7 linked regions of the Mus musculus genome follow. The protein of the gene in region 5 interacts with the protein of the main gene of each other region in a biochemical or structural test. Links are inferred from orthologs where the notes say so. Each region holds a gene or a part of one and is shown on either strand. Other genes may lie near its edges. The genes, in order: Mindy3, Otub1, Ubl7, Mindy2, Ubc, Usp13 and Ccdc50.

Region 1 (3,500 bases), on a different chromosome or scaffold from region 5:
GACTACCATGCATTCTAACTGTCGCTTTAATTGTGTAAAGGCGTTTCTTTTGAAGAAGCTTCTGTTCTCCTCCGAGAAGTCGTCCTGGCGGGATTGCTCAGGTATGCTAGCTGCCTTCAAACTCTCTCCTCCCTCCGGCTTCTCTTTTACACCTCATCTAAGTCACACTTATTGCTAGTAATTCATTTTCTTAAAAGTCTGTCTTCACTGGGGAACAATTGATGGAATATTATTTCTCAGATGTTTCAAAAAGTTTAATAAAACAGACTTTGTTTTAAAATGTTCTTTTTCAGATTTTTCTTAATAAGGGACAGAAGACAGAGTATTATAGTAATAAGGCCTCTTGCTTAAATGGCTGTTTCTCTTAACCTTTAGATGATTATATATCCATAATTAAAACCTCTTTGCTCTGGTGTTTGTGTGACAGGAACTCACTATATAACAAGGCTAGCCTGGCACGCACTGTGTAGGCCAGGCTAGCCCCAGCCTTGCGATCCTTCTAGTTTAACTACTTGTTGCTAGGATTACCTTCTGCACCACCATGCCTGTGTGTTGCTGGTGGCTTCCTACCCCATCCCTCCTGTTTTCTTTTTTTGCCTTATTGAGTTGTGATGAAGAGCTCAGCATTCTTGTTTTACTCTTTTATCTTTTATTATAATGCATTATTAAATGGGAACACTGAAAGTTTGCAGAATAAACTATCAGAGTTTCTGCAGCTTGAGTAATACTGATACGGGATGCCACCTGATGACAAACATTTGCATTCCACTTGGCAGTTTACAAAGACCTTCCTCAGTTGCAGAATTCCTTGTGAGCCTCACAGTCACTTCTAGAAGAAGGCAGGAGATTACAGTGCCAGCTTTGTGTGTAAGAACATAATAGCTTTCCTTCTAACCCATGACCATAGAATCTCCTCAAGATTCTGAACTGAGGAGTTAACGGAATTCTGGTCATATATTTAGTATGAATATCTAATTCACGAGTTCAGTAAAGAAACTTTGAGAGTCTATTATCACCATGACTTTTAATTGCTGAAAACATTTCTTCCTCAAAAATACAGTCTCTTTGACAAATTTGAAAAACATTCTCATAAGGTCATGAAGGCTGTGATGTCAAGTGACTGGAACCATTGCTGACTGTAACATGTGATGTAGGATGTGTTACACTAGTTTCATTTGGAAGTGTGAGTGTGATAGTGCACTGGAAAGCGGGCACTGCTTGAAAGAGGGCGGAGGGCTGCCCAGGTTCTGGAGGAAATGGCCTTGTTTGTGCCTTTGAAAAGAGCACCAGTGCTCGGCATACTGTGGAGTGGTGTAAGGCTCCTGCTTTATGCAGCATAGAGGTGGTTGCTTCTGCTCAGTAATGGCCTGTGGTTTGTGTGCTGATGGTGTCTTGTCGCCTTGCTGTTATTCCTGTAAGCTGGTCAGGCGGAATTCAGCAGATGAGGAGAACAGGTCCCGGGGGCCCTGTTGCTCCTTTCTTTGGACTCTGCAGTAGAGGGAGCTGAGTGCTGAGTGCTGAAGGTGAGATGATGATTTCTCATGATGTTAATTAAGTTCTGCACTTTTCAGTCTTCTTCTAACTGGTGCCAGGATTTAAGGTGATAACATTTTAATCTTTAGGCACATTGTTCTTCTAAAGAGTAATTTCCAGTCTTCTGGTCATATGGGTTTTCCTTATTCTCAGAAAACACTTGATTTTCATTATTAAGCCGAGGCCTTCTTACTGTTTCTCATGACTCGATTTTCTTTTCCAGACAAAGCATTGTAACTCATACTTTGGTTATTTTTAGAGGAAGAGCAGAAGGAGCTCCTTTGTCACACCTTGTGTGATATTGTAGAGAGTGCTTATGACAGCTCTGGATCATACTGCTTGGTTTCATGGTTGAGAGGAAGGACCCCCGAGGAAGCGGCTAGGATTTCTGGGAGTCCTGCACAGTCTAGTTGCCAAGTGGAACATTCTTGTAAGATACGTTTTTATTTCATGAAGTAATTTCTTGTTCTTTTGTTTTAATAAATCTATTGAAAATTTTGAAGAAAAAATATTTTATGTTTTGATAACACTTTCTCTAAGTTAATATTTTCTATCTCTTTTCCATTATTTTATTTAGTGTAAGACAGTGCATTTTTACAAAAGGAGTTACATCTGTCTCTTAAGCATTTTAAAAATAATTGTAGCTAACTTCTGCTTGATGAAATCTTTTAGTATTACAACTTTGATTTTAAAAGTCTGTGGGAAATACATCTGCATGCAGTAGTTCAGGTGCACAGTGTTCTTTAGATGAGAGGAGCTTTCTCACCATCAATGCTTAAATATCCTCAGCTCTGTTTTAGAACAACAGTGGAGATATTTTCTTAATTAAACACTGTTATTTTGTTCCTGATCCTTTTGAACATTGTTATATATTTGGACTAAAGTAGTTTTAGTTTCGTTTTACTTATGTTTTAAGTTCTCCACATCTTGACTGCAGTTTCTTTATTTTAAATAATACAAATAATACCTACTCTCATTCATAAAAATTACACACTTGAACATTCTTAAAAGTGGCCTAAACACTGCCAAAATGAACGAGTAAATTAACGACTTCTGGTGGTAGGGAAAATAGAAGGAGTTGCTCTTTGGTTTGCTTTGGAGGACTAATCTTGCTAGTTAGGTGACTTTGGGGAATTATTAGTTCCCAAGTGTACTTTATTCCATATATACTGGAACATACTCACTACCTTCTATATCAAATTGATTCTGTAAAAGACAGATACTAGGCATTAGGAAGTAAATATTGATTGTGTGTGTTATGTATCACTATCCATATAGAACTGTCTACTGACAGTGTTGCCTCCCCTGAGCTGAAATGTCTGTGTTCACTGTCCATTTTTTCCCCTTCCTCTACAATTAGAACAGCTTGTGCTTGGCAAATTTTAATAACACATTTGCCAGAAATAATTTTAAAAATTTAAACAGTTGTGTAGTGTTTCTTTTCAGACCTTTAAAATATTGCCTTTCGAAAAGAATTCATTTTGGAATTGATAATGACATTTAAAGACAAATGGAAGCTATTCAAAAGAATGATAATAAAGCATCATTTAGACTCATTTTTAAATGTTTGTAAATTGTACTGTGTGGCTTGTAAGCATGCTATTAACTCCTTTTGAGATACTACATATTGAGAAAGGGACACTTAAACCATTCAAAGTGTTTACACTCATTTAGCATTTTACATTCGTGTTATATTTAGCATTACCTTAGCACATGCATACCATATGCTTACTCTGGAGTGGTGGTGCATTTCTGTGCTAACACGTTGGCAAGCTCTAGGAGGAAGGGCGTCATAGCACACTGTTAGCTATGTGGGCATGATAGATTGAGCCCTCCTCCAAAACAAAGTGATGTAGGATTTTCTAGTTTACTTAGTGCCTCATTTTAAAAATACACATGACATAAAACCATACTTGAAATATGTTTTTAACTTCATATATAGTTAAAACATTTTATTAACTGAGAAT
Region 2 (4,106 bases), on a different chromosome or scaffold from region 5:
GTTTCTCTATGTAGTCTGTGAGTCTGAAACTCACTGTGTAGACCAGGCTGACCTCTACTCAGAGATCCACATGCCTCCCTAGTGCTGGAATTACCATGCCTAGTCTGTACTTGATTTTTCTAAAATTTTTTTGGTTTTTCAAGACAGGGTTTCTCTGTGTAGCCCTGGCTGTCCTGGAGCTCACTCTGTAGACCAGGCTGGCCTCGAACTCAGAAATCCTCCTGCCTCTGCCTCCCAAGTGCTGGGATTAAAGACATGGGTCACCACAGCCCGGCCTGATTTTTCTAAATCTTTAAGAGTGCTTTCCACCCTGGCCTCCAGTTACCTGGACTGGTAGACCGACCATACAGGAGCTGGAGTTGGGACTAGTAAGGACAGAGAACTGATATTCTGGAGGGTAAAAGGAATCTGTGTGGCTCAGTGATGGCTATAGCCAGGCTACCAAGAAGTAAATGCCTTTTCCTGCAAACGCTCTGGTGTTTGCTTTTCAGGGTACACAGGGCCTGCAAATGGGAATGTCCATTTCTCAGAATGGAGACATAACTCAAAGAAAATGGGTAGCTTCGGCAAAAATTAGCAAAGATGGCCACTTTTTGGCTCAGGTTTTGTTTGGTTTGGTCTGGTCTGTTTGAGACAGGGTCTCTTGTAGCCAAGCCTTGCCTGAAACTCCACGATTACCTTGAACGCCGGATCCTCCATTCTTTCTCCACCTTTCACATGTTCGGATTATGGACTCAAATTCTTGCTTTTAAGTGGCTCTGCTTTCTCAAATACGAGGACATATAGCCTAAAGTTAGGTCGAGGGTTTTGGTTTTGGTATCAAGGGAAGATGCTCCCCGTGCTGGAAACAGGTCTTTACAGCTTTAGAGAACAGGCTCAGTGGTGAGAGGCGAGAGGCCGCGAAGGCTCCGAAGGGCGTCAGGAGGTTGTCACCACTTCCTGTCTCGAGGTGGCTCTGCGCTCCGCACTGCAGCTACCGTCCTGTACCTTGAAAGTACGCGCAGCTGGGATTAACCTTCTAGTGACTTTAATTCCATCTTGTTCCTTATCTTAGTTACACAACCTGCGTTTCAAACTTCAGTATACAGAAAACAGAAATGACTCGAGGAGGTCCTTAGCCCCGCAGGACCTTTGGGAAAGTGGAATGTGGAAGCGCGCGTGGCGTCCCCCCAAGCTCTCCAGGGCAGCAGGAGCAGCCCAGGCCCTGACGACTGCCAAAGGGAGCCTGTTGCTAGGGGCGTTGCGAAGGAGGGGCCACAAGGAGGGGCTCCCTTCCGGGAGGAGGGCAATTAATAACCCGGAAGCGATCGCCAGTGCGGCGCTGTTTAAAGATGGCGGCGGAGGAACCTCAGCAGCAGAAGCAGGAGCCACTGGGTAGCGACTCCGAAGGTACGAACGGAGGGAAGGATGTCCTTCCCGGGCTAGCGGGGGCAATCCACGGCCCGCCGTTCCCGAGGAACTCGGGGAGTCAGGGCCCTGGGGAGTAGGCGCAGCGTGCGACCGAGCCCTTCCCCGCGTCTCCTCCCCTCCCCCTCACAATGGAAGCAGGGCCGCGGCGACCCCCGGCCGGGCGGGGCGGCCGGGGCCGGGGCTCGGCCTCTCGCGCACGCCTGGGGCGGGGCCTGGGCCGCCCCGCCTCCGCCGGTCCCGTGGCCTCGGCCGGCTCCCACAGTCAGCCCGCCGGAGACCTAGCAGTCAAGCCGAGGCCTAGGCCGGGGCCGAGCTGCTGAAAGGCGTTGAGGAACGCCGGGCTTCCAAGGACGAAGTCCCTGCTGGGCCGTTCGGGATGCCATTGGCGGCTCTTTGCCTTAGAGCTTGTGCTGGCCTTACAGCACCTTTGAGCGGATCCAGGCATTGTTTTCCTAGATTCTTGGTCTTTAAAAAAAGACAGAAACCAGTCACACCTTCTCCCTGTCTCCCGAGAACTTGAGCTCTAGGGGTTGAGTAAGTCTGTTGAGTGGGAGGGACAGTCCTGTTGTAGGACATGGTGGGAAGCTCAGCTGAGAACCTAGGATAACCAGGCCCCAAAGGATTGGCTTTAAAAAGCCAGTCATACTCGCACACCCTACTCTAACTCCACACTATATTCTAGAGGTTGAGGACTAGGAAACCCAGATACGCAGAAAGAAATTGTTCTCCATCACATCTAAGAAGGATCCAAGACTAGAAACTCCTACAATAGCTGCTTAGAGTCCTCAGAACGAACGTCCCGAATCCGTGGATGACTCTAGAGAGTGCTTAGGTAGTAGTTGCTGCTGGCAGGATCCCAGCATATTTTGATGATGGGAGCAAGGTGATGGCATTAATCCATTCTAGAGGTGAGGGGAGAGGACTTTGGCAAGTGACATGTCCAAGAGCTCAGACTGGAATTTTACAAATGTGGACTTGACCTTGGACAAGATGGAGTTACCTCTGGTTTTTGTTTTTTGTTTTTTAATTTGGAAAATGAACAATACAGGGGACCACAGAAGGACAAAGGGCGTGTCTCAGTAAAGTGCATGCTTACAGGATGCACTCATTCTTCCTAGGGCTCCACCCCTTCATCCTGCTTTCTCCCAGAGCTCCCTTCCCCAGAGCATTCCCTAGATGCTACACAGTGCTTTTAGAAGGCAGGGAGGAAGGAATATCGGGGCTGCAAGAGAGCTTTGGGGGTGATCTTTACTTGTCATTTTACTTATTTATTTATATTTATATTTACTTATTTCTTGAGGTTGCTAGGGCTTCACACCTGCAGGACAAATATATCTTTACCACTGGGTCTCAAGCCCAGCCCTATTTTTTTTTTCTTCCAAGATAAAGGCTTGCTATATTTCCAGAGCTGATCTCTAACTCCTAGGCTTCTTAATCCTGCTCTGGTCTGTAATTGCTCCCTTGTTTACTTTTATTTTTTTAGAGATTAGCTATATAGACTTGTGGTCTTCCTGCCTCAGCCTCCCAAATGACACCACACTTAGCTACTTTCTCCAAAAGATGAGGAAATGAGAACTCAAAGAAGGAAGAACTTTGCTAAGAATACACAGTGGGGTGTAAGGCATAGGGTTCCAGATTCCAGACCTGTTCTGCCAAAGCTGCCTGCCATAGAGATAGCCAGACCCCATAGGAACCCTTGGTTGGCACTTCTTTTTTCTCCTTTTTCTAGGTGTTAACTGTTTGGCCTATGATGAAGCCATTATGGCTCAGCAGGACCGAATTCAGCAAGAGGTGAGGTGCCGAAGAAAGTTGGGGAGGGAGTAGCTGAGGGCTTTGTGGTGGGGATGCATAGTCAGGGCCTGAGACCTAGTGTCTGTTTTGAAGCCCTCCCCTCTCGAGTCTCTCAAGTCTCTGAGTCTACTTTAGGCACTCTATGCTTTTGTGGGGTTGCTGTGCTGCTGGATGGCCACCACCCCGTTTGTAGGTGTTAGGCGTGGCTTCCTCAGTCTCCTGCCTCCCTGCAGATTGCTGTGCAGAATCCTCTGGTGTCAGAGCGGCTGGAACTCTCAGTCCTGTACAAGGAGTATGCTGAGGATGACAACATCTACCAACAGAAGATCAAGGTGGGATCCTGGCCAGAGGGGCAGGAGGGAGCCTGTTTCAGCCCTGCTTCTTGTCAGGCCTAATGTCTGAGAGGGTCGGGTGTTGGGCGGGGACACACCTCCTATTGCTAGTTCTTGAAGTGTGGCCTCTGGACTGAGACCTCATTCATATCAGATTACCACTCAGCAGCTGTCTTCTTGACAGGTCCTTCAGTGTCTCTGAGCCCTGGGTGTCCTCATCTGTAAAATAGGGACAGTGAAAGCATCTGCCTGTAGGGTGGCTGTAAGGTTGAGGTAGGTGATGCTCAGGTGGGACCAGGTGCAGGCTGGGCGGGCACTGACAACTCAGTAGCCTGCCAGGGGCCAAACTTGCTGGTGTTGGGATGGGTAGATTGGTCACAGAGACCTGTCCTGTAGTCTGTCTACTTTGATCTTTGCGGAGAACAGGCTTCTTCTGTGTGTCTCTGCTGCATCACTCAAACTGAGGCAAGCTTCTTTCCCAGTAAGCCCAAAAGCTGGGAGCAGCGGAGCTTGAACTGTGACCCTGGGATGAAACAGTATTTAGTAGGCAGCCTGAAGAGTTAAGAAATGGTG
Region 3 (4,009 bases), on a different chromosome or scaffold from region 5:
ACTCAGAAATCTGCCTGACTCTGCCTCCTGAGTGCTGGGCTTAAAGGCGTGCGCCACCACGCCCGGCAAGAATACAACTTTTACACTTGTGTACACAGTAGCTATTATGAACTTTTTTTAAAAAAAAGATTTATTTATGTATTTTATACACTGTCACTGTCTTCAGACACACCAGAAGAGGGCACCGGATCCCATTATAGATGGCTGTGAGTCACCACTTGGTTGCTGGAAATTGAACTCAGGACCTCTGGAAGAGCACTCAGTGCTCTTAACTGCTGAGCCTTCTCTCCAGCCTGAACTTTATCTTTTAAAATTACATTTTTTTATTAGTGTGTGTGTGTGGTCAGTTTTGGGGAGTCAGTTCAATCCTTTCACCATTTGTTCCCGGGGAGGTCCTCAGGTTTGAATGCAAGTGCTTTTACCTGCTGAGCCATCTCACCCGTCCCTCAGCTTCACAGTTTTAAAGTTGGTTGTTTTTGGTTATTGTTTTCCTTAATTGTGGAACTTTCTGAGAAAAATCACTTCTCTCTTGAGTTTAGCTAACTCTAACTTTTGTGTAAACTCAATCCAATTTGATTGTGCATTAGTTTCTCAGCCATCTAAAACAGGCAGTGTCTCCACGAAAGTTCAGTGGAAATTCCCCTCCCCAAACTGATTCTACGAATGACTGTGTTATAAACCCCATTGTTGCATGTTCGCGGTGGGCCAGAAACCCGACTTAATCACTCCCCTTACGGACTCAACTTTTAGCGCCCTGGTGCGCTGCCACAAGGCAGGTTTCCTGGGAGAAAGGAGCAAGAAGCACAAGAGGCTGGCTACGTGGGAGAACTGCGTCTTCATCGGAAGGGCCGCGGGGCGCCTGTCCACTTAGGAACCCGTCCCCCTCGGAGAAGGCTCGCCCTCCGGCCTAGGACTCCTCCAAACCCGGGACAACCAACAGGCTTCACATATATCCCTGGAGAGCGCGGGAATCATCGGGCTATTGGCTGCTTTCGAAAATTCCACACTGAGTCTCCCTACCTCAGGTGGTGGTACAATTGTGTCTGACAGAAAGCTACAACCTACTGGCTTCTAGGACCTCAAACTGCTCGTGCTCGCACTCACGCCTCCTAGGACCCGGAAGCATTGCCACTAGCTGCTGGACGGCCATTTATAAGGGGCTGGGTCTCAGTGAAAACTATAGTCCCCAGAATGCAGCGCGGAGCTTCCGGTTTCCGGCAAGAGGACCAGAGTGAGTGTTTACACCGGCGGCTCGCTGCGGCCGGGTTCCTTCCGCGGGACGGGTGAGGGCGCTGGGCCCCCTCCCTGGGCGCGCGGGGCTCTCGTGGGTCCGGAGTAGCTAACTGGTCCCACGAGAGAGGTGGGGTTGTCAACATTGTCCCTACTCACGACTAGGTATCTGTGACCTTGGGCCAAGAGACTTCAGCTTTCTGAGTCTTTATTCCTGATCTGTAAAATAAGGACAATGATGCCAGTTTCAGGAGACAGTTGTGAGGATTGAAATCGGTATACAAAAACCTCCTTTCTCGCTTTAAACCTAAAGGTGGATAGTACCTTGAAGTCCGCTGGGTCGCACCACAGTTTTTTCTTAGCCTTGTCTTTACTGCAAGAGACCTCTTTGGCAGAAATAGTGTCTGTAACAAGGACTGGTCTTGCGGTACAAGGCTCTTGCACCCTTTGAATTTTTAGATTTATTTTGTGGGCATTCATATATGTCAGGCTGGGGACTGTGTTAGAAAAGCTCTAGTCTTGGCTTTCAAGAATGGGGGGGGTTTCACAAATATGAGGGACGCAATGAGAAGTTGAGAAGTAAATAAGTTGTACAAGGGAAAAAGCAGCAAAGAGAAGGTAGCTTTCTAAGTCTGGCATCTGGTAATGAAGCTGGCTGACTTGTCCTCAAATCTATTGATTTGTGTTGCTCTTTTGCCTTGAGGGAACAGGGAATGTGTGACCAAGAAGAGAGCATGGAACCGATGTGTTTGTGTGGGTCTTGGTAGGAGTTTGCTAAGAGGCCAAAAAGGGAAGAGAACTTATATGCAAAGACAGGAGGTGAGCAGAGTTACATATAGGGGACAACTTTGTTATGAAGTATACTTACGTGTGTTGTTATAAAGGGGCAGGGCTGGGTCTATTGAAGAAAGCTGGTAGGCGTCAGAATAAATGGGTTTGTAATCTGGCTGTGGAGTTAACACCCACCTGTTCATAGAAGTGCTTTGGGATTAATGGGGGCCTTCTAAGCAGTTAAGTTTGTTAGATCTGTGTTTTAACAATAAGACATTGGGTGGTGCTATAGATCTCTGATAAGGGCAGGCAAGAGAGACAAGGGCCCTCCTTAAAGTGTTGTTATAGCTAAATCAAAAGCTGGAGAAGAAAACCAGAAATGAGTGTGTAGAAGGGAGAGGGTTGGGTGATCTTGCTTGAACCTCACAACATTCCTATCCAACTGATTGGCCTTTTGTGTTTACTTTTTTTTTTTTTTTCTTTTGTTTTTTTGAGACAGGGTTTCTCTGTGTAGCCCTGGCTGTCCTGGAACTCACTTTGTAGATCAGGCTGGCCTTGAACTCAGAAATCCTCCTGCCTCTGCCTCCCAAGTGCTGGGATTAAAGGCGTGTGCCACCAATGCCCGGCTTTTGTGTTTACTTTAAAGGTGAAGAAACTGAGGCATAAGAGAAATCCCTTGTAGTCCACCAGAGAAAGAATTAAGGGAGGGACACTAGGTTCTAGTTCTAGCCTCTTAGTGCTACACCTATGTTTCTCTAGCAGTAGTACACTGAAATGATCTTTCCTTTATTCTTGTTGCAGGGAGAGATGAGTAGGGAGGTGGGTTGACTTTTAACCGTTAATGCCTTATTGTTTTACAGGGAGAAAGAGAGAGCGCGAAAGAGAGAGGATGTCTCTCTCAGACTGGCATCTGGCAGTGAAGCTGGCTGACCAGCCACTTGCTCCAAAATCTATTCTTCAGTTGCCAGAGACAGAACTGGGAGAATATTCCCTAGGGGGCTATAGCATTTCATTTCTGAAGCAGCTTATTGCTGGCAAGCTCCAGGAATCTGTTCCAGACCCGGAGCTGATCGGTGAGTCTTCATTGGCAGGAGCTGGGTTGCTGCTCTTGCCCCTGGGACAGGAGGTAAAAGGGCTTGTTGCCTCCTTCCAGAGTAAGTTTTACATGAGTGAAAACATAAAACATGACAAAACTGTTGTTTGTCACTTTAGTCTCATGTTACACTGAACTACGTTATTATTTAAGACTCTTCATTATGATGTTGTTGAAGTCTTTTGTCTGATCGAACAAAATTAGCAAAGACTTGCAGATGAGACAAGACTCCTCAATCTGTCACCTAAGACTTAAGGGATAATTAGAAGGATGTTTTTGTTTGTCTTGATGGCTGAATAAAGGGAAGGCCGCAAAATAGGAAATGAGGTTGGCAATGTACTCCTAGTGGAGGAAGGAAGAGCTTTCGTAGAGAACAGTCAGATTAGATTAGGAGCGAAATGTACGCTAGCCAAGGGTTCTCCCTGGTGAAGACATTCCTATCACAGGTGATCAGCTCCATCCTCTTTTTTCGGTTTTTCGAGACAGGGTTTCTCTGTGCAGTCCTGGCTGTCCTGGAACTCACTCTGTCCAGGCTGGCCTCGAACTCAGAAATCCGCCTGCCTCTACATCCCAAGTGCCACCACTGCCCGGCAGCTCCATCCTTTTTGATGTTATATTTTTCACATTTATGTGGAATCACTACTCTCTACAGGGTTGAGCTTTAGAGGTGTACTGTGCATATACTTCTTAAATAAGCATTTGTACTTGATAAAGTTGTTTAAAATGTTGGGGTTTTGTTTGTTTCAAGACAGGGTCTCACTTTGTAGCCCTGGCTGGCCCAAACTCACCACTTATCTCTGCTTATTGAGTGCTGGGATAAAAAGTGTGTGCCAGCACACCTAGTCAAAATGTCTTTTATTTATTTATTTATTTATTTATTTGGTTTATTTATTTATTTATTGTTTTTTTCGAGAC
Region 4 (4,252 bases), on a different chromosome or scaffold from region 5:
ACTCTGTCTCAAAAAACAAAAGTGAAATAAGATAAGCAAAGTAGTAGAGGGCTCTGTAGAGTGTTTGTCATACATGAATTGAGCCCCAGCCCTAAAAAAAAAAAAAAAAAAAAAAAAAAAAAAAAAAAAAGGAAAGGGGGGGGAAGAAAAGAAAGGAAGGGAGGAGAGAGTTGGAGGTGGGAAGAAAGAGGGAGAAGTCGAAGAGAGTGCCGAGAAAGAGATCATCATTTCTGAGAAGATAATAGTGATATTTTTAGTGTGAAACACAGTATTCAGTAACATGCTTGGTGCTAACACATGAATGAGCAAAATAATGCATTAATTTGTCTACTTTTCTAACCAGTAGCAGGACAGAAGTGTAACAATCCATGATGCACCATATATTTGTATACCTGATACTAAAGGAAGACCCACCTGTCTTGTTCATTTTTATATTCTCAGACAACTTTGAAGAGGGAAGGGTCCAGGAAAAAAAAAAAAAACAAAAAAAACAAAAAACCAAAAAACAAAAAAACCAAAAAAAAAAAAAAAAAAACACCCCACTTTTCCAGAGCAGGTTAGATGATCTATATCCACTCTTGCCAATAAATAAGTAAGTAAATAAATAGAAAAAAAAAGTTGCAGGCAACTCTGTCCATCCTCTATGCAGATGTCAAGCCCTGATGAGAAGTCAATTCTAATTTTAAAAGTCATTTTTTCGGGAAGCAGAAGCTTCCCACTCTGTGCAAAGAGAAGCCAAGTGAACAGAACCGCAAAGACTTGGCTTGCTTCAAACGCAAACTGATTTATTATTATTGGACCAAATTTACCCTCTCGCCTGGGGCGTAGGCCAATATCCACAACCTCATTGAACCTCCGGCAAGGCAAACCAGTAGCTGGTTGGGAGCGCAGCGATTCTCAGCCAAAACCCAGGGAGAGTTGTCCCTGTACTGCGCAGTCTTCCAAAAGCCTCCAACAGAACTCGCCTTTCAAATTTGCATTTCCTAAGAAATGCTTCCAATTCTCAACATTAAAAGCTAAAAAAAAAAAAAAAGAAAAGAAAAAGCCAGCTCTCCCGAGGCCTTCAGGGAATGGCTGTCTTCCAATGCTACTACCACTTTCGGGGTCCACCAGGCTCAAGCCCAAAGTAGACCACACTCCCTACAAGCCTCAGCCACTGCCTTTAAAGTAACCGCGCGCAGCGGGGATGCCCCGGAGTTCAACTTCCGGCAGCACACACAAGATTATTTTCCTAGTGGCGCTGCGGCTCTCCGAGCCGCGCCCCTGACCACGCCCTCAGCCACGCCCCTGGCCTCGCTCTGCCTTCCCTAGCCTGAACGCGCGGGAGGGGCGTGGCCTCGGGGGAGAAGCGCTCCCCGAGTGGGTCCGGGCGCTTCAACGAGCGCAGTCACGCGGAGGCACGCTCCGAGCGGGCGGGCGGGGGCACGCGCGCGCGCTCCCGCCGCCCTCTACGGTGACGTGCCTGGCCGAGGCCGCGCTAGGGCGCTGGAGCTGCTACAGAGCGGCTGTCATGGCGTCGGAGGCGCTTGCTGAGGAGAGCCGGCCGCGGTGTCTATAGGACCAGGGGCGGGCGGCCGGGGATGGAGAACAGCCCTGACAGCCCACAGCCTCTGGAACTAGGGGTGGCGGCCGGGCGAGTGTCGCCGCCGGAAGGGCGACGGCGCGGCGGGCGCGAGGCTGAGGATGGTCCCGCTGGACGCGCGGTGGACAGCGGCGGGCAGGGGGCGGCGGCGGCGGCAGCGCGGAGCAGCCTCGGGGACCCGACGTCCCCCTCGCAGCTCGGATGCGGCGCGGGCTCGGACTTGAAGGACGGCGCGTCGTCGAGCCCTGCCGCCTCGGAGGTGCCTTCAAGAGGGCAGCACAAGGTGACCGCCTCCCCGGAGCTGGCCGAGGCCGCGGCGGGCCGAGGGTCGGGGCCAGTGGGCGACACGGGCACCTGCAGGGTGGAGCAGGCGGCGGAAGAGCCCAGCAGCACCGGCGCCCCGAGCAGCAGCTGCAGCGAGCCGAGCCCCCCTGGGGACTCGCCCAGCTTGGACTCCCTGGAGTCTTTCTCCAACCTGCATTCTTTCCCCAGTAGCTCTGAGTTCAATAGTGAGGAGGGAGCAGAGACCAGGGTCCCCGAGGACGTGGAGGAGGGCGCGGCGGGGCCGCCCAGGGCTGCACCTCTATGCAAAGAGGAGGAGGAGGACCCGGCTCAGGTGCTAGCGGCCTCCAAAGAACGCTTTCCCGGACAGTCGGTGTATCACATCAAATGGATCCAGTGGAAAGAGGAGAACACGCCCATCATCACCCAGAATGAGAATGGACCCTGCCCTTTGCTGGCCATCCTCAATGTTTTGCTTCTCGCCTGGAAGGTACACTCTGCAGCTTTCTACTTCCTACAGCTTGTGGGGTGGGGAGGGGCAAAATGGGGTGAGGAAACTGCTGTTTGTCAGCTGATGGCTTCCTTCCATTCATCAGACTCCTCCTTTTTTTTTTTTTTTTTTTTTGAGACAAGGTTTGTCTGTGTAGCTTAAACTGTCCTCGAACAGTTTAAGATCTTAATGCTACAGCCTCTAGAGTGCTAGGTTTACAGACATGCACCCCTATATCTAACAGTCTCTTATTACATGAAATTAATTCCAGGATTTCTTTATTGAAAGATTATTCATGTGGCAACATGTCAGGAAGAATTGCCCCCAACTTAAGGTCTTTTTTGTATTAAAAATTCAACATTCGGTTAAAGGTTGTAACTGATGGTTTACCTATAAACAAGCAGAATCCAGAGCACCCTGCACTTACATCTTCTGAGTATTTTTAGCTATATTTGCCTATATTATTCCTTACTGACATTATTACATATGCAAAACAGTGAAAATTGGAAACAGTGATTGATCTTCAGTTACTATCAATCTTATATTATGGAGTAAGTTTTAATGATTTTATCTGCGTGTTTTCTGGAAAAGGCTGTTTGTCCCACTGTGGTGTGGATGCATGAAAGAACAGTGATGGGAAAGATACAACTTTTTAGACAAATTCCATTTAAGGAAAAGCATTGGTCTGAGCCTACTTACCATAAATTACTTGTTTCCAAAGACAGTATTTTCATCTTGTGTATGATTTTTTGTTTTTGTTTTTACTTTCCTTGTTTCTTTGACTCTACTTCAAAGGTTTGGCATTTTTACTAGTAACTGTACATTAGAATGTTTGTTAAGGAAGCTAAAACTATTAACAACTAAAATAAGGAATGATAAATCTAAGGTCTTGGAGAACAGGAAGGGAAGGGCAAGTGTATTGAGGCCTCAGAATATAGTGTCATATTTAAGCTTGCAGTATCTGGGTTTTGAGAGGATGCATCTCAGCACCTGTTTTCAAATTGATGATTCCACTTATAGTTAAAATGCTCCCTAGAAGAAGAATAGTTTGAATTATGCTAACCAGTTATGAAGAACTATGATGGATAGTGAGGGAGAGATTCCAACACCAAATCTTGCAGCACTAAGTTGGGTATCCGGGGCTCCTGATGGAATCATCTGGGTTCCAGTCATCTGGATTAGTCTGTTAAGAAGTAAGCATGCATGCTAATGAGTTGGAAGATTATTTTGATTAACCTCTGCTTAAAGCATTCGAGGGCTTTTCTAGCAGAGAGTTCCAAACTTTTCCACATTCTTCCCACAAACCAGTTCAAGATGTCTAAGAGTTACATTGTCAGGTTTATCATTGCAAAGGCTCCATTCCTGAGTACCAGTTTTCTGGCATAGTTACTTTTCTCAGTGCTGTAACAAAATACCTGACAAAAGCAACTTAAGGTAGGGTTTATTTTCGCTCACAGTTTGAGGGTACAGACCATTAGTCGGGGAAGCCATGGAAGCTGGCACTTGAGACCACTGGTCACATTGCATTCATAGTCAGGGAGCAGAGAGACGACTGCTCAGTTTGATTCCTCCTTTTTATTTAGTCCAAGCCTGCAGCCCATGGAATGGTGCCACCCACATTCACAGTAGGCGGAGCAGTCACCATGGCCTGGATTACTTTGAGGATATATGAGCCTTGAATTGACTCTGAAAGGCAGATCCCAATTGTGTGACCACATGTTTGGGTTCTGGCTTTGTGGAAGACATTATACATGCAAAGACAGTAGAGTGCATCAGCCCTTCAGTAGCTCAGTATATGGTAAAGAGGCAGACATAAGGAGTAATTGTAGAGCGACATGAACAGGGCTCATAGTCTAAGGAAGTAAAAAATTATGTGGTGGTTGGGGGGGGGGCTGGGG
Region 5 (4,081 bases):
CCATCTAAGTGTGTGCCACATGTATGTGAAAGTGTCCCTAGGGACATTGGACCCTCCTGAAGCTGGAGTCACAAGCTAGCTGCCTGACAGGGTTGCTGGGTATTGAATTCATGTACTCTGGAAAAAGACCTGTTCCTACTGGGGAGCCATCTCTCCCCATCAGGGATTCAATTCTTACCTTCTAAGGTCTTAGGCCTTACATTTCAAAAACCTGAGCTGGGCAGTGGTGGCGCAGGCCTTTAATCCCAGCACTTTGGAGGCAGAGGCAGGTGGATTTCTGAGTTCGGGGCCAGCCTGGTCTACAAAGTGAGTTCCAGGACAGTCAGGGCTACACAGAGAAACCCTGTCTCAAAAAACCAAAAAAAAAAAAACAAAACAAAACAAAACAAAAAAAACCCTGAATAATTTGATTCGTATAAGTGGGATATATGCTTGCTGTAATCTGAACATTGTACTACACGTGCACATTTGTGCTTTTTTGTTTTTGTGGGGGTTTTTTGTTTGGTTTTTGGTTTTTCAAGTCAAGTGTAGCCCTGGCCATTCTGGAACTTGATCTGTAGACCATACTTGGGAGGCAGAGGCAGGAGGACCTATATAAACTTGAGACCAGCCTGGTCTACATAGCATATTCCAGGACAGGCAGGGCTACACAGAGAAACCCCCATCTGAACAACAAAAATTTAAAAATCAGGGCTTCAGTGGGTTCAGTCTCAGAATATGAACAACAAATATGAACAACATTTGGAAATTTTGACCTTTACTTAGTGACAAGCACATAGAAAACATAGAACCTTCTCGAATCCAAGGACACAAGGTTTAGGAAAAATCTGGAAAGATCAGGTTCTGCTGGGCTTCAGATCTAATGCCAACAGTTTTCAAGAACTGTGTAGACTGTCTGCTTTCCTTGACAAACTCAGATTCGTTTTTCCAAATCGGGGAGAGATTCCCTCCTTCGTATTTTTTTTTTTTAAATTTATTAAAAACCCTTTGTCATTTTCCTTGTTAGGAGATTTGCACAGTCATCCACCCTGTCACTGTGCCAAAACAGTGAGGGCTGGGCATAGTGACCCGCCGGGGATGAGGGGATTGAGGAGGCGAGGTCACCAATGGGATCCCAGTGTGACAGGAGCCAAAGCCCTGGGTCCCCCTAGCGCGGAAAGAAAACAGGGGGGGTGGGGGGTGGTGGCCTGACTAGGGGCGCCAGGCCGCGAAGCCGCAGGGCGCCTGCGCCAAGGCCCGCTCCGGCCTCAGTGATCCCAGCCGTGTTTTCGTGCCGATCGTCTCACGCGCGCTGATCCCTCCGCGGAGTCGCCCGAGGTCACAGCCCTGCCCTCCCACACAAAGCCCCTCAATCTCTGGACGCCACCGTGAAACAACTCCGTGAGAGAGGTACCTTGATAGTTTTAGCCTGTCGCTTTCGCTGCCGAGACTGGACCCGGCGTTACAAAGTAGTCCCTGACCGCATTGCCCGCGGAGGGACCGCGCGGAAGGGGGGGGGCGGGGCTTCGGTGACTATATAAAGAGACGCCGGGCGTGCCGCAGCTAGTTCCGTGGAGACTGCGAGTTCCGTCTGCTGTGTGAGGACTGCCGCCACCACCGCTGGTGAGGAGAAAGCCGCCGCACCCGGTCGGGGACGGGAGGCTGGAGGCGAGACGGGGCGAGAGGCAGCCCCGCGGCCCAGACGTTTGGTTTCCGTGGCCCGCGCGGACCGCGGCTGCCCCGAGGCAGAGGACTGGGCGGCAAGATGGCGGCCAGATGGAAGCCTGAGGGGGAAGACGCGGGGCTCTGACGCGCAGGACGAGGTTGGGGGAGGAAAAAGGCCCGCGAGGCCGCTGCCCTCCGGTTAAGCCGGGGACGTCGGAGACTGTGGGGTGGGGACTGAATTAGGGTTGCGCGCCGTAGGAGCCTCTGCTGTGAGAGCCGTGGATATTGGGCTGGCCCGAGAGGTCGATTGGCCCGGCGTTCGTCCGTTCGTTTGCTGAAAGACGGAAGTGCGATCGAGACCGGAAGGGGGTTGGGCGGCGGTTCAGCCTGCCTGGCCTGCCGCCCCCTGTGACGTCGCGGGTTGCGTGGCCTCCTAATGGATAGTGACGTCACTATCTTGACTTTAGCTTTCCCTCGGTTGTAGGACAGGGTTTGGGTCTCGGCCTCCGGTAGCCTCTCCAGAGTAAACAGGAACCGGAAATTCAGAGGGGAAATGTGAGCCATTCTTGTCCTGTTTCGTTTTAAGAATGTCGCTGTACAACTATGACTACTGAAACTTTTGGGGGGGGGGTTCGAGACGGTTTCTCTATGTAGTCCTGGCTGTCCCGCATCTCACTCTGTAGATCAGGCTGGCCTCGAACCCAGAAATCCTCCTGCCTCTGCCTCCCAAGTGTTGGGACGAAAGGCACCACCATTGTCCTGCGACAAGGGTGTTTTTTTTTAAACTGTCAAAATCTCTGCCTCTACCACCCCATGTGATGAGGTCCAAGGCCAGTACCACCACTCCAGACTAATTTTAATCGTTCAGACAAAAGTTTGGTGTTCTTTTGGGGGAAGGAGAGTTGAGGCAGGATTACACTGTCTCTGGCTGACCTTCCAGTTAGAGATCTGCCCACCTCAGTGTCCCCAGTGCTGAGGTCAGCGATAGGCATGGGCTCAGACTTAGTTTTGCAGTAGTAACTTGCTATATTACCATTCTGAAACTGAATCCGGGACTGCTGTGGTTTCATAACCTCCCAGAGGTCAGGCTTTTCTGCAAACTGTTCAAATAGACAGAAATTGACTTTCAGCTGTTGGTATACTGAAGTCTCCATCCTGTAAATTTGGTAATACAAAAAGACTCACCATGCCGAGGTTTCTTAACTTTGTTAGTCAACAATCTTATTTTCTTGATGGTTTTTCGGGGTGGGGGGATTGGATTCAAGACAGAATCTGTGTAGATAGACCTTGCTATTTAGACTTATAGCATCCAGTTGACAAATGTTGATGCCATCCCACAAATATTTGTGTCATTCCTGACCTGTGAATTGTTTTGTATATTTTGTGACAGACGATGCAGATCTTTGTGAAAACCTTAACTGGTAAGACCATCACCCTGGAGGTCGAGCCCAGTGACACCATTGAGAATGTCAAGGCAAAGATCCAGGACAAGGAGGGCATCCCCCCTGACCAGCAGAGGCTGATCTTTGCAGGCAAGCAGCTGGAAGATGGCCGCACCCTGTCAGACTACAACATCCAGAAAGAGTCCACCCTGCACCTGGTCCTTCGCCTCAGAGGTGGCATGCAGATCTTTGTGAAGACCCTGACAGGCAAGACCATCACCCTGGAGGTCGAGCCCAGTGACACCATAGAGAATGTCAAGGCAAAGATCCAGGACAAGGAGGGCATCCCCCCTGACCAGCAGAGGCTGATCTTTGCAGGCAAGCAGCTGGAAGATGGCCGCACCCTGTCAGACTACAACATCCAGAAAGAGTCCACCCTGCACCTGGTCCTTCGCCTCAGAGGTGGGATGCAGATCTTTGTGAAGACCCTGACAGGCAAGACCATCACCCTGGAGGTCGAGCCCAGTGACACCATAGAGAATGTCAAGGCAAAGATCCAGGACAAGGAGGGCATCCCCCCTGACCAGCAGAGGCTGATCTTTGCAGGCAAGCAGCTGGAAGATGGCCGCACCCTGTCAGACTACAACATCCAGAAAGAGTCCACCCTGCACCTGGTCCTTCGCCTCAGAGGTGGCATGCAGATCTTTGTGAAGACCCTGACAGGCAAGACCATCACCCTGGAGGTCGAGCCCAGTGACACCATTGAGAATGTCAAGGCAAAGATCCAGGACAAGGAGGGCATCCCCCCTGACCAGCAGAGGCTGATCTTTGCAGGCAAGCAGCTGGAAGATGGCCGCACCCTGTCAGACTACAACATCCAGAAAGAGTCCACCCTGCACTTAGTCCTTCGCCTCAGAGGTGGGATGCAGATCTTTGTGAAGACCCTGACAGGCAAAACCATCACCCTGGAGGTCGAGCCCAGTGACACCATTGAGAATGTCAAGGCAAAGATCCAGGACAAGGAGGGCATCCCCCCTGACCAGCAGAGGCTGATC
Region 6 (3,500 bases), on a different chromosome or scaffold from region 5:
TTCACCTAGTGCACAGACATGCAGCAAGCCACTCATATATATGTAAGTTTTTAAAACATGGCACACTGGCAACAGATGTAAGACACAAAAAGCATTTTAAAAGATACCTACGGTCTATCAACTGGTTCATCAAGCGGTCTGGAAATGAAGGGACAGTCAAAAGTGAGAGCGAGCTAACCATGGCCAACAGTTTTAGATAAGAGATTCCCAGACCCTCTCACTCCTGGTTACCCCACACACACCACCTGCAAAACACAGTTCATTACAATAATGAGGGGAAACAGCAGGCTTTGGGCACTTAGATGCAAATAAAACAGGAAGTTCTGACAGCTCGGTGAGCTAAATAATTACGATCCTTGCATGTATTTGTAAGAGCACTGTCTAACTGCAAATCAAGGGTTCTGCCTGAGCTTTATTGATAGGAGCAGTGTGGAAAACCACCTTGGCCTTCTCTCACGCTCAGTATCGCCTGTCTGCAAGCCCCCTCTGGAACCACCTGCCGACAGGACTCCAAATCAGTGACGTCGTCACAGAGTGTACGTGTCTCAAGTTCACAGTGGCAGCCAGGTTTCATTCCTATGTGTCTAGGATGACCTCACGGGAAGCAGATTGGTGGCAAAACACAGTGACTGTTCCAGGCTGGTGGAGGAGAGAGTGTCCTTCCAACTGGGCAGTGGTTCTCAACCTTCTTGATGCTATGACCCTCTTGTGGTGACCCCCCCAACGACAAAACTATTCTCGTTGCTACTCCACAACTGCAATTTTGCTACTGCCATGAATTGCAATGTAAATATCTGATGTGCAGGATATATGACATGTGATCCCTGTGAAAGGGTCATTCAACGCCCCCACCACCAAGGGTCGCGACCCACAGGTTGAGAACCACTGCAGTAGGCGATGGTACCTTTTGAGTCATCAGGAATGACTATGGGGGGGCTGATGTCAGGAAGCTCCTCTTCCCCTGGCTGCAAGCCCCTGGCTCTGAGATGGCTGATATCTAGTAGGTCTGGCATATCAATAGAAACATCTGCAAAACAAAAGATCATATTCACTGGACTCTCCCGCGCCCTCGGTCAGATCATTATAAATCTGCTTGTGCTCACTGCATGCATGTATGTAGCCAGCCTACGGGACACTCAGCACAGCAGACTTGTCAAGCCACATGGGAGGTTATTGGAGGGCTCAGGGGAAGGGCAGAGAGTGGTGGGACAGAGGTGCCAGACTGGACAGCAACAGGTCAGGTGAGCCAGAGATCACAGACCGGCAGCCCAGGCTATCTGTGGCCCAGACTCATTCCATTTGGTGTTCTTGAGATATGGACAGATTTAATGTTAAAATGCAGACTTCTGGATTTCAAATACCACAAAGCTATAGCACATTCTCCTGTGTTAACTGTCTGAGCTTCCCCTCAGCTTCCGTTCTGGACAATGGTGGCTGCTGTGACCATTTCACACTGATGCCACTGCTCTGAACTGCCCCAAACATGAACAGCATGCTTATGGAAAAGCACATCTTCCTAACCCATGTCGTAAGGCACAGCGGAACCCTCCGAGAGGGTGGCTCGTGTACCCTTTACCCAGCAGCTCTCCTTTCCTGGGTGCTGCTTCCCCTTCCTTGCACATCTGAGTTCGAAAATCCTAATTGATACTTTTTCTCGAATGGTGACAGTGACTGTGATGATGCTAAGTTATAAATCACAAAGCTCAAAAGAACCTGGCTGAACCTTAAGTGTCTTAAGCATCCGTGGCTGCTCTGGGAGAAAAATAAAGCCCTCATGCCTCAGTTGCCACTACATTCGACTTGCTCAAATGCAAGATTTATAAGCCTAACAGCTGCTGCAAGGCAGTGCTGCAACCTATGCAACTAGGAATAGAAATGAGTCTAAGTACAACTTAGCTTTGTCCTTCAGACCTGGAGACCAACTGCCTCCAAATGACGCCAAATATGTAAATCCTATTTAAGACAACAAGGCAGGTTGGGCATGGTAGCACATGCCTGTAAACATAGAACTTGGGAAATGGAAGCAGGAAGATCAGAAGTTCAAGGCTACCCTCATCTGCACAGGTGAATTCAAGGCTACCCTTGGCTACATAAGATCCTGTCTCAAAAAAAAAAAAAAAAAAACAACTAAACAAATAAATGAAACAATAACCCAAGAACAAAAGCTAAGACAGAAGAGTTAAATTTTAAGGACCAGTAAAACTAAACACAAGGTCAGATTCACAAAACGGACACAACTGTTCCTTAAGAGAAAAATCCAGGCCCTACCTTGAGATTCCTTTAAACCTTGGTCAATAAAATCCGGCTTCCTTTTTGTTCCTTCACAAAAATTCAAAAGGAAAAGCAAGCAAACAAACAAACCAAAAACCCCGTCCACAGCAATCCAAAGCCTGAATGGGTCAAAATTCTCAAGTATCTCAACCTTCTCAGAGGCCAGTGGAGAACAGAGTGGTCAGCACCCTGCCCTCAGACCCCCTCTGCTCCCTAAACTCTCCCAGCAAGAAAATCAAGGGTCTCCTGGGCACTGGGAATAGCTCAGCACAAAGGGTGATAAACTGGCACTCTGTGCCCACCAGCACCAGGCCTCCTCAGAAATCATGCTGGCTGTTCTTCCTTCTGTCTCCAGGTCCCCTTCTACCCGTGTTTGGATGACTCTTAAGGCTTTCATCGTTTTGTTGTGTAAGTGCCCAAAAACAAGTCTGTAAGAGACTGGCAGTTTGAAGTCCTTGCTAGAGAAGCTACACGGAGTGAGATGCAAATCCTTGCACAAGCCTGGAGGTCACTTAAGACTGCTCACATTCAACCCTGGTGGCTAAGGAAATGGTCTTTATGCCTTATCTGGAAAATGGGCCTCCCACACTGACCAAGGACCTTGAGTATTGATGAAAAGGCAGCCAGTGAAGCCCAAACCACATCCTTCTATCAACTGTCCAAATCCAATGTTTCCAAGTGGTTGGGAGGAAAATGTGTATGATTTAGATGAATATCACATACATATAGTACTGCTGTATCTCAGAGGCAGGGAAGGGTGCTAAGAGGAAGTTATACCTCCAGCTACCTACTACTACAAGTGTGGCGTCTGGACTGTCAATGCCAACACCATGCGGTAGGTTAGAAACATGGTCGCTCAGCCCACCTACACCTGCCAATCAGGATCTGCATTTTCCAAAGATCCCAGGTGACCTGTGTGCACAGTAACTTCTGAGATGCGCTGTCGCAAGGAGTGTACTTCCCCTCTGAGAACCTGATCCTCCCAGAGCTCAGTGGTGAGGGTGTGGTTAGCATATGGTGTTTCTTATGGTAGTGTTTCTCCTAGATTCTGGGTCCAGAGAAACCTGGGAGTAACAGAGGAAACAATGGGGTGGAAGGGACGGGGCAGACGTTCCCACAGCCTCTTTCACATGCCATGTCTGGTTAGGTGGCTCACTCTATAGTTTAAGCGAAAGCATGCAAAGGATACCTACCAAATTTTCTGGGAACCCAGTCAAGACCAAAAGTGA
Region 7 (4,300 bases), on a different chromosome or scaffold from region 5:
CCATATATGGCAGGACATTTATAAATACCCCTAAAGCCACTTTGCTATACCTTCCTTCTTCACACTTTGTTTATGGAGTGCTCTCTATCTCTGACAGGGCTGTGCAAAATTTTCTTGTAAGGGTTTGATAGTACTTTAGATTTTGGGCTTAAAAGGCAAAATTTAAATGACTCATATTAAAAATAATTTAAAATGTAATATTTAAACAAATACAGTCACGGGGTTTCAGCGGGCTGGGTTTGGCCTGTGGGTAGCAGCTTGCCAACTTCTGATCTAATTTTTGCTCTCATTTACATCTTAGTTTTTGCTAACCAATTTTAGTGTCAAGTTAAAAATCATACCACTTCCTCCTGACCTCTCACACTAGGAGTCTGAGCTGAGATGGGAAGCCAGTTTAAGCCAGTGGCTGAAGTGACACGTTGAACTTTGACAAGATGTTGGGCTGACATTCCAGAGTTCAATGATCCTGCCAACAAGCTTAACTCTGAGGAGGAACTGTGCTTTGCTACTGTGTTTCCATCAGAAACTGCCCTCTTCTCCGCCTTCTCCTATCTTTGCTTATCTTCAGTTTAGTTTCATTGTCTGCTAGTGAGAGTGGCCGCCCACTCAGGAAACAGATACTAATTTGCTACTCTACCCTTTATGTAGCAAGCCTAGGGAGGTATTCTGCTCCACCGGTTTTGATCTCACACCCATTCTTTGATAAATATGCATGGTTTGTGGACTAATGGACTGAAAGATAAGATTAGTGAAAACCCAGTTTAGGACTGGAATGTTTCCTTTAGGGGAAGAGACAGTTCCTAAAGGAGCATGAATCTGTACTGATCCATAGGATGAAACGCGAAAAGTCGCTCATTTCAGAGAAACACAAATGTCAGAATTATAGACCAGTGAGTGGCATGCTGGAAGGGGAAGCCCATACAAGTCTCTGTCACAATCCCTCCACCCCCGAAACTGAACATCCGATCTGGTAGACATTTATAGTTTTTTGTTGATTGAGTGACTCAGTTCTCCCTGCTGGTTGTGAATATTCCGTTTCCAGAAGGGCCCAGAATTTAATTCAGTGTCTTGTATTCTGGTTTCTTTAAAAACAAAAAAACAAAACAAAAAAAGAAATATAAAGCACACACACACACACACACACACACACACACACACACACACATGTATGTATGTATGTATGTATGTATGTATGTATGTATGTATGTTTGTAAGTATGTATGTATATGCCCACTAATCCCAGATATAAGGATTTGTGGTGCCTGGCACTCAATAAGCACTTTACACAAGTCTTAAATCTCAGAGTGGAGCGCAGATAGGCTCTGTCCCGGCGGCGCCTAGCTGGCAGGTGCAGCCTTGGGGTCCCGGCCTTCAGGCCGCAGAGCTGTGGCCTGGGCTGGGCGCGGCAGGCACATAGGCGAGGGGAGGCGGTCTGGCTCGCACGCCTCTGCGTGCGGTGCAGCCTTGCAGCCCCCGCCCCCCGCCGCCGCCGCCGCCGCCTTTCTGGCACCTCTCTCCCTCCGTACTGGACTCCGGTGCATTTCCGGCCCGGGAGAGTCCGGCGTCCACCCGGGCCAGCCCGCGGGGTGGGCGTGCGCCGTGATCTCCGCGCGCCCGAGGCCCAGCGGCCGCCATGGCCGACGTGAGTGTAGATCAGTCCAAGTTGCCGGGCGTGAAGGAAGGTAGGTCGGGACTCGCGGGCTCCGGGGAGCCGGGCTGCGCGGGGCACGCGGCGCGGGGCGGGCTAGGAGCGCCGCGGGCTGGCTCGGTCCGCCAGCGGCTGCGGGAGGCCCTCGCCTGGCCGCGCGGCCTTGTTCTGCCCTGTGGACGCTTGATGTAGAAATCCCAGCCCTTCCAGGCTGGCCCAGGCCAGGGGGTGGCGTTCCGAGTGGAGTGGAGCCTTTGTTTTGAAACATGACCCTCTCCCTCCTCTTCTCCTTCTGTTCCTCTCTTCTCCCTCCTTCTTTTCTTTTCTATCCTCTACCTCCCTCCTCCTTTCTTTCCCTCCTCTCTCCCTTCCTCCCTTCTCCCACTTCTTCTTCCTAGTCTAGTGTCTGGCTGGCTCTTAGCTTCAAAAATGTTGAAAATCTTAGGGTTGGCATTGCTTTGAATGGTGGACCTCAAGCCCCTATAAAGATGATCTCCCCACTTCCATTTTAATAAAGACCAGGCTGGAGTGGGTGGGAGCTTGTGATCCTGTTACCCCCGTTGCCCCCCATGGCTGCTATATTGAAGTCCAGGAAAATAAGATTGACTAGTACTGGCCAGGCCTAGCTTACTTCATCTCTCCTCCCCTCCCCGGGGCCTAGCATTTTTATTGTTTTGGTTACTGGCTCATCTTCTTGTCACTCTGTCTTTCCCTTCTTGGGAAGCACTGGACTTCCATTATGACAACACCTAGAACGTTCAAGAGTGCTCTCTCTTAAAGCCATAAGTTCTGAGGGGGGTGGGGGGGGGGTCTTTGTTGTGGATCTCTTTTGTTTCACCAGAGATCTGTGGCCAACACGGTCTGGGACTGGGATGTGTGTGTTGTGTAAGTGAAGGAGTTTTTCCTTTCTTGAGACTTTAGGCTTCATTGCCAATTTCAAGTGACTCAGATGGTCTCGCTCTGGCCAATTTGGAAATCCCAAGACAATTAGTGACTACTTGGCTGCATCTGTCCTAGGGTTTCAGAGAAGCACCGTGGCTAGGAGTCAATGATTTTATGTTTAAATTGTAGTAGGTTTGGATCTACTCCATTGTTTCTAAAGAGTAATAATGCCTTCAGGCTGAGCTTTTGGTCTTGGTATTTTTCCATCGTTTCTGTCCCTAACTTGACTTTGGTTATTACAGTTTTTAGTTAATGGAGTCTAAGGAGCCACTGGGAAGACATATCGGTTCTTCACCTGGAGGCCAGCTGTAGAGCTCCCCTCTTGCTTTTGGATATGGGTTTTGTGCGCAAAGGTGTTGGTTTTGTCTGAAGACAAAGTGCTCCCTTGGTAGTACTTTCATTGATGGTGGGTGTTGCTGATACTGGAGTTCAAACAAAACCTGACCTGAGGTGCAAAGCTTCAGTGTTGAGGTGCTGTGACTTCCCCAGCCTTCCACCTGTGCTAGTGACCTGGAAAGAACTTTTTTGTGTACGCTTTGAAACCCTGAGGTCTTTTCATTTTTTTTTTTTTTTTAACCGAGACATGCCTAACTTGTGCTAATATCTTATTTCTCAAGGAGTTCCCCACTTTCCATCTAGGCCTGCAAGAGTCTTTTTCACCCCCCAGCTCTACAAGTTTTCCTATGTTTACTTTGGTTTTCATTCTGGATATTGTGGTGCCGTGCTTGGCAATCCTGTCTAGGGACTCCGATGAGATGACAGGGACATTTAGTGTGGCTCTTCCATGTGTCTTTGTTAAATTTAGAATTTGTCACATGCTCACTTTGAAGGAGGTCAAAAGCTGTTGGGATCATCGTCCTTACCAGTGCCTGGCTCTGAGACCATCAAAGGCCATGATGGGTTTACTAGGAGAGTCCCCAGAGTGGCGAGAATTTGATCTGGGAAGTATTCAAGCCTAATAACTTGCATCTCTCTCATATAATTTTAAATTATGGCCCAGTTACCACCTAACAATCTTTCCTCTAATTAAAGAGAACCGGAAGATACCAGTGAAGAAGCAGAGCGTGTTCTGACACTGAGTAGTCCTGAAGCCCTCAGCTAAGTCCAAGCAACTTAGCAGCACTTTGTTTAAAGTTTTGGCTCAGATATTTGAGCCTCATTAAAAACGCAAACACTACTTCTTGTGTTTTCCACTTTTCTTCTGAATTTAAACTTTGGTAGATTTCTGCAGGTTACAGTTGACATCATGGGGTAGATTATAACAGAGACTGAGAAGAATGGGGCTGTGTGTCCTGTCTCACTGCCCTGTCTTTAAGAGAGGGAAGGCTGCTTTGATATTTGGTGTATCAAAAACAGATGGCAGGGAACAGGACTACTTCACAGTCTTCTTCCCTAGGTTAACATGAAATGCTTGCCTCTTTGGTTTGTATGGAGGGCAGAGCTTCATTGAGAAGACCCTTCAAACATACACAATTAAGAAGTGTATACTTTCGAAAATAACAAATTTGGAGACAACAAAACTGAGTTTATACAAGTGAAAAGAGTTTAAATGTCATTTAAATGCCATTTAAATGTCAGTACACCCCTATTTCCTAATCAAAATATGTTTGGAACCTCCATATATTTTTTGTAAAGGAAATAGTTATTTTCTCTATCAGTCTCCACACCCCCCCCCCCTTTTCATTTCACAATTCTCCAAGTCTTGTTTTG

The links.
Region 1: the proteins of Ubc (region 5) and Mindy3 form a complex in vitro, tested with the Homo sapiens proteins (2 studies listed by BioGRID). The link is inferred for Mus musculus from reciprocal best matches to the Homo sapiens genes UBC and MINDY3.
Region 2: of the proteins of Ubc (region 5) and Otub1, one has a biochemical effect on the other in vitro, tested with the Homo sapiens proteins (29 studies listed by BioGRID, with this or other methods). The link is inferred for Mus musculus from reciprocal best matches to the Homo sapiens genes UBC and OTUB1.
Region 3: the proteins of Ubc (region 5) and Ubl7 form a complex in vitro, tested with the Homo sapiens proteins (6 studies listed by BioGRID, with this or other methods). The link is inferred for Mus musculus from reciprocal best matches to the Homo sapiens genes UBC and UBL7.
Region 4: the proteins of Ubc (region 5) and Mindy2 form a complex in vitro, tested with the Homo sapiens proteins (5 studies listed by BioGRID, with this or other methods). The link is inferred for Mus musculus from reciprocal best matches to the Homo sapiens genes UBC and MINDY2.
Region 6: the proteins of Ubc (region 5) and Usp13 form a complex in vitro, tested with the Homo sapiens proteins (9 studies listed by BioGRID, with this or other methods). The link is inferred for Mus musculus from reciprocal best matches to the Homo sapiens genes UBC and USP13.
Region 7: the proteins of Ubc (region 5) and Ccdc50 form a complex in vitro, tested with the Homo sapiens proteins (5 studies listed by BioGRID). The link is inferred for Mus musculus from reciprocal best matches to the Homo sapiens genes UBC and CCDC50.

What each region holds. Positions count from the first base shown.
Region 1 is NC_000068.7:12,402,461-12,405,960, reverse strand, and holds part of Mindy3 (ubiquitin carboxyl-terminal hydrolase MINDY-3), read left to right. Parts: intron 1-40; coding exon 41-101; intron 102-1,792; coding exon 1,793-1,963; intron 1,964-3,500. UniProt on the Homo sapiens protein: Hydrolase that can remove 'Lys-48'-linked conjugated ubiquitin from proteins.
Region 2 is NC_000085.6:7,203,485-7,207,590, reverse strand, and holds the start of Otub1 (ubiquitin thioesterase OTUB1), read left to right. Parts: upstream 1-1,306; 5' UTR 1,307-1,331; coding exon 1,332-1,389; intron 1,390-3,139; coding exon 3,140-3,201; intron 3,202-3,434; coding exon 3,435-3,533; intron 3,534-4,106. UniProt on the Homo sapiens protein: Hydrolase that can specifically remove 'Lys-48'-linked conjugated ubiquitin from proteins and plays an important regulatory role at the level of protein turnover by preventing degradation.
Region 3 is NC_000075.6:57,909,777-57,913,785, forward strand, and holds the start of Ubl7 (ubiquitin-like protein 7), read left to right. Parts: upstream 1-1,209; 5' UTR 1,210-1,283; exon of another isoform or gene 1,284-1,506; intron 1,507-1,933; exon of another isoform or gene 1,934-2,049; intron 2,050-2,861; 5' UTR 2,862-2,890; coding exon 2,891-3,074; intron 3,075-4,009.
Region 4 is NC_000075.6:70,654,375-70,658,626, reverse strand, and holds the start of Mindy2 (ubiquitin carboxyl-terminal hydrolase MINDY-2), read left to right. Parts: upstream 1-1,452; 5' UTR 1,453-1,580; coding exon 1,581-2,354; intron 2,355-4,252. UniProt on the Homo sapiens protein: Hydrolase that can remove 'Lys-48'-linked conjugated ubiquitin from proteins. Binds to polyubiquitin chains of different linkage types, including 'Lys-6', 'Lys-11', 'Lys-29', 'Lys-33', 'Lys-48' and 'Lys-63'.
Region 5 is NC_000071.6:125,387,218-125,391,298, reverse strand, and holds the start of Ubc (polyubiquitin-C), read left to right. Parts: upstream 1-1,281; 5' UTR 1,282-1,389; intron 1,390-3,034; 5' UTR 3,035-3,037; coding exon 3,038-4,081.
Region 6 is NC_000069.6:32,911,626-32,915,125, reverse strand, and holds part of Usp13 (ubiquitin carboxyl-terminal hydrolase 13), read right to left. Parts: coding exon 3,465-3,500; intron 1,028-3,464; coding exon 905-1,027; exon of another isoform or gene 655-904; intron 246-654; exon of another isoform or gene 139-245; coding exon 112-138; intron 1-111. UniProt on the Homo sapiens protein: Deubiquitinase that mediates deubiquitination of target proteins such as BECN1, MITF, SKP2 and USP10 and is involved in various processes such as autophagy, endoplasmic reticulum-associated degradation (ERAD), cell cycle progression or DNA damage response.
Region 7 is NC_000082.6:27,387,456-27,391,755, forward strand, and holds the start of Ccdc50 (coiled-coil domain-containing protein 50), read left to right. Parts: upstream 1-1,500; 5' UTR 1,501-1,633; coding exon 1,634-1,682; intron 1,683-2,451; exon of another isoform or gene 2,452-2,520; coding exon of another isoform or gene 2,521-2,533; intron 2,534-4,300.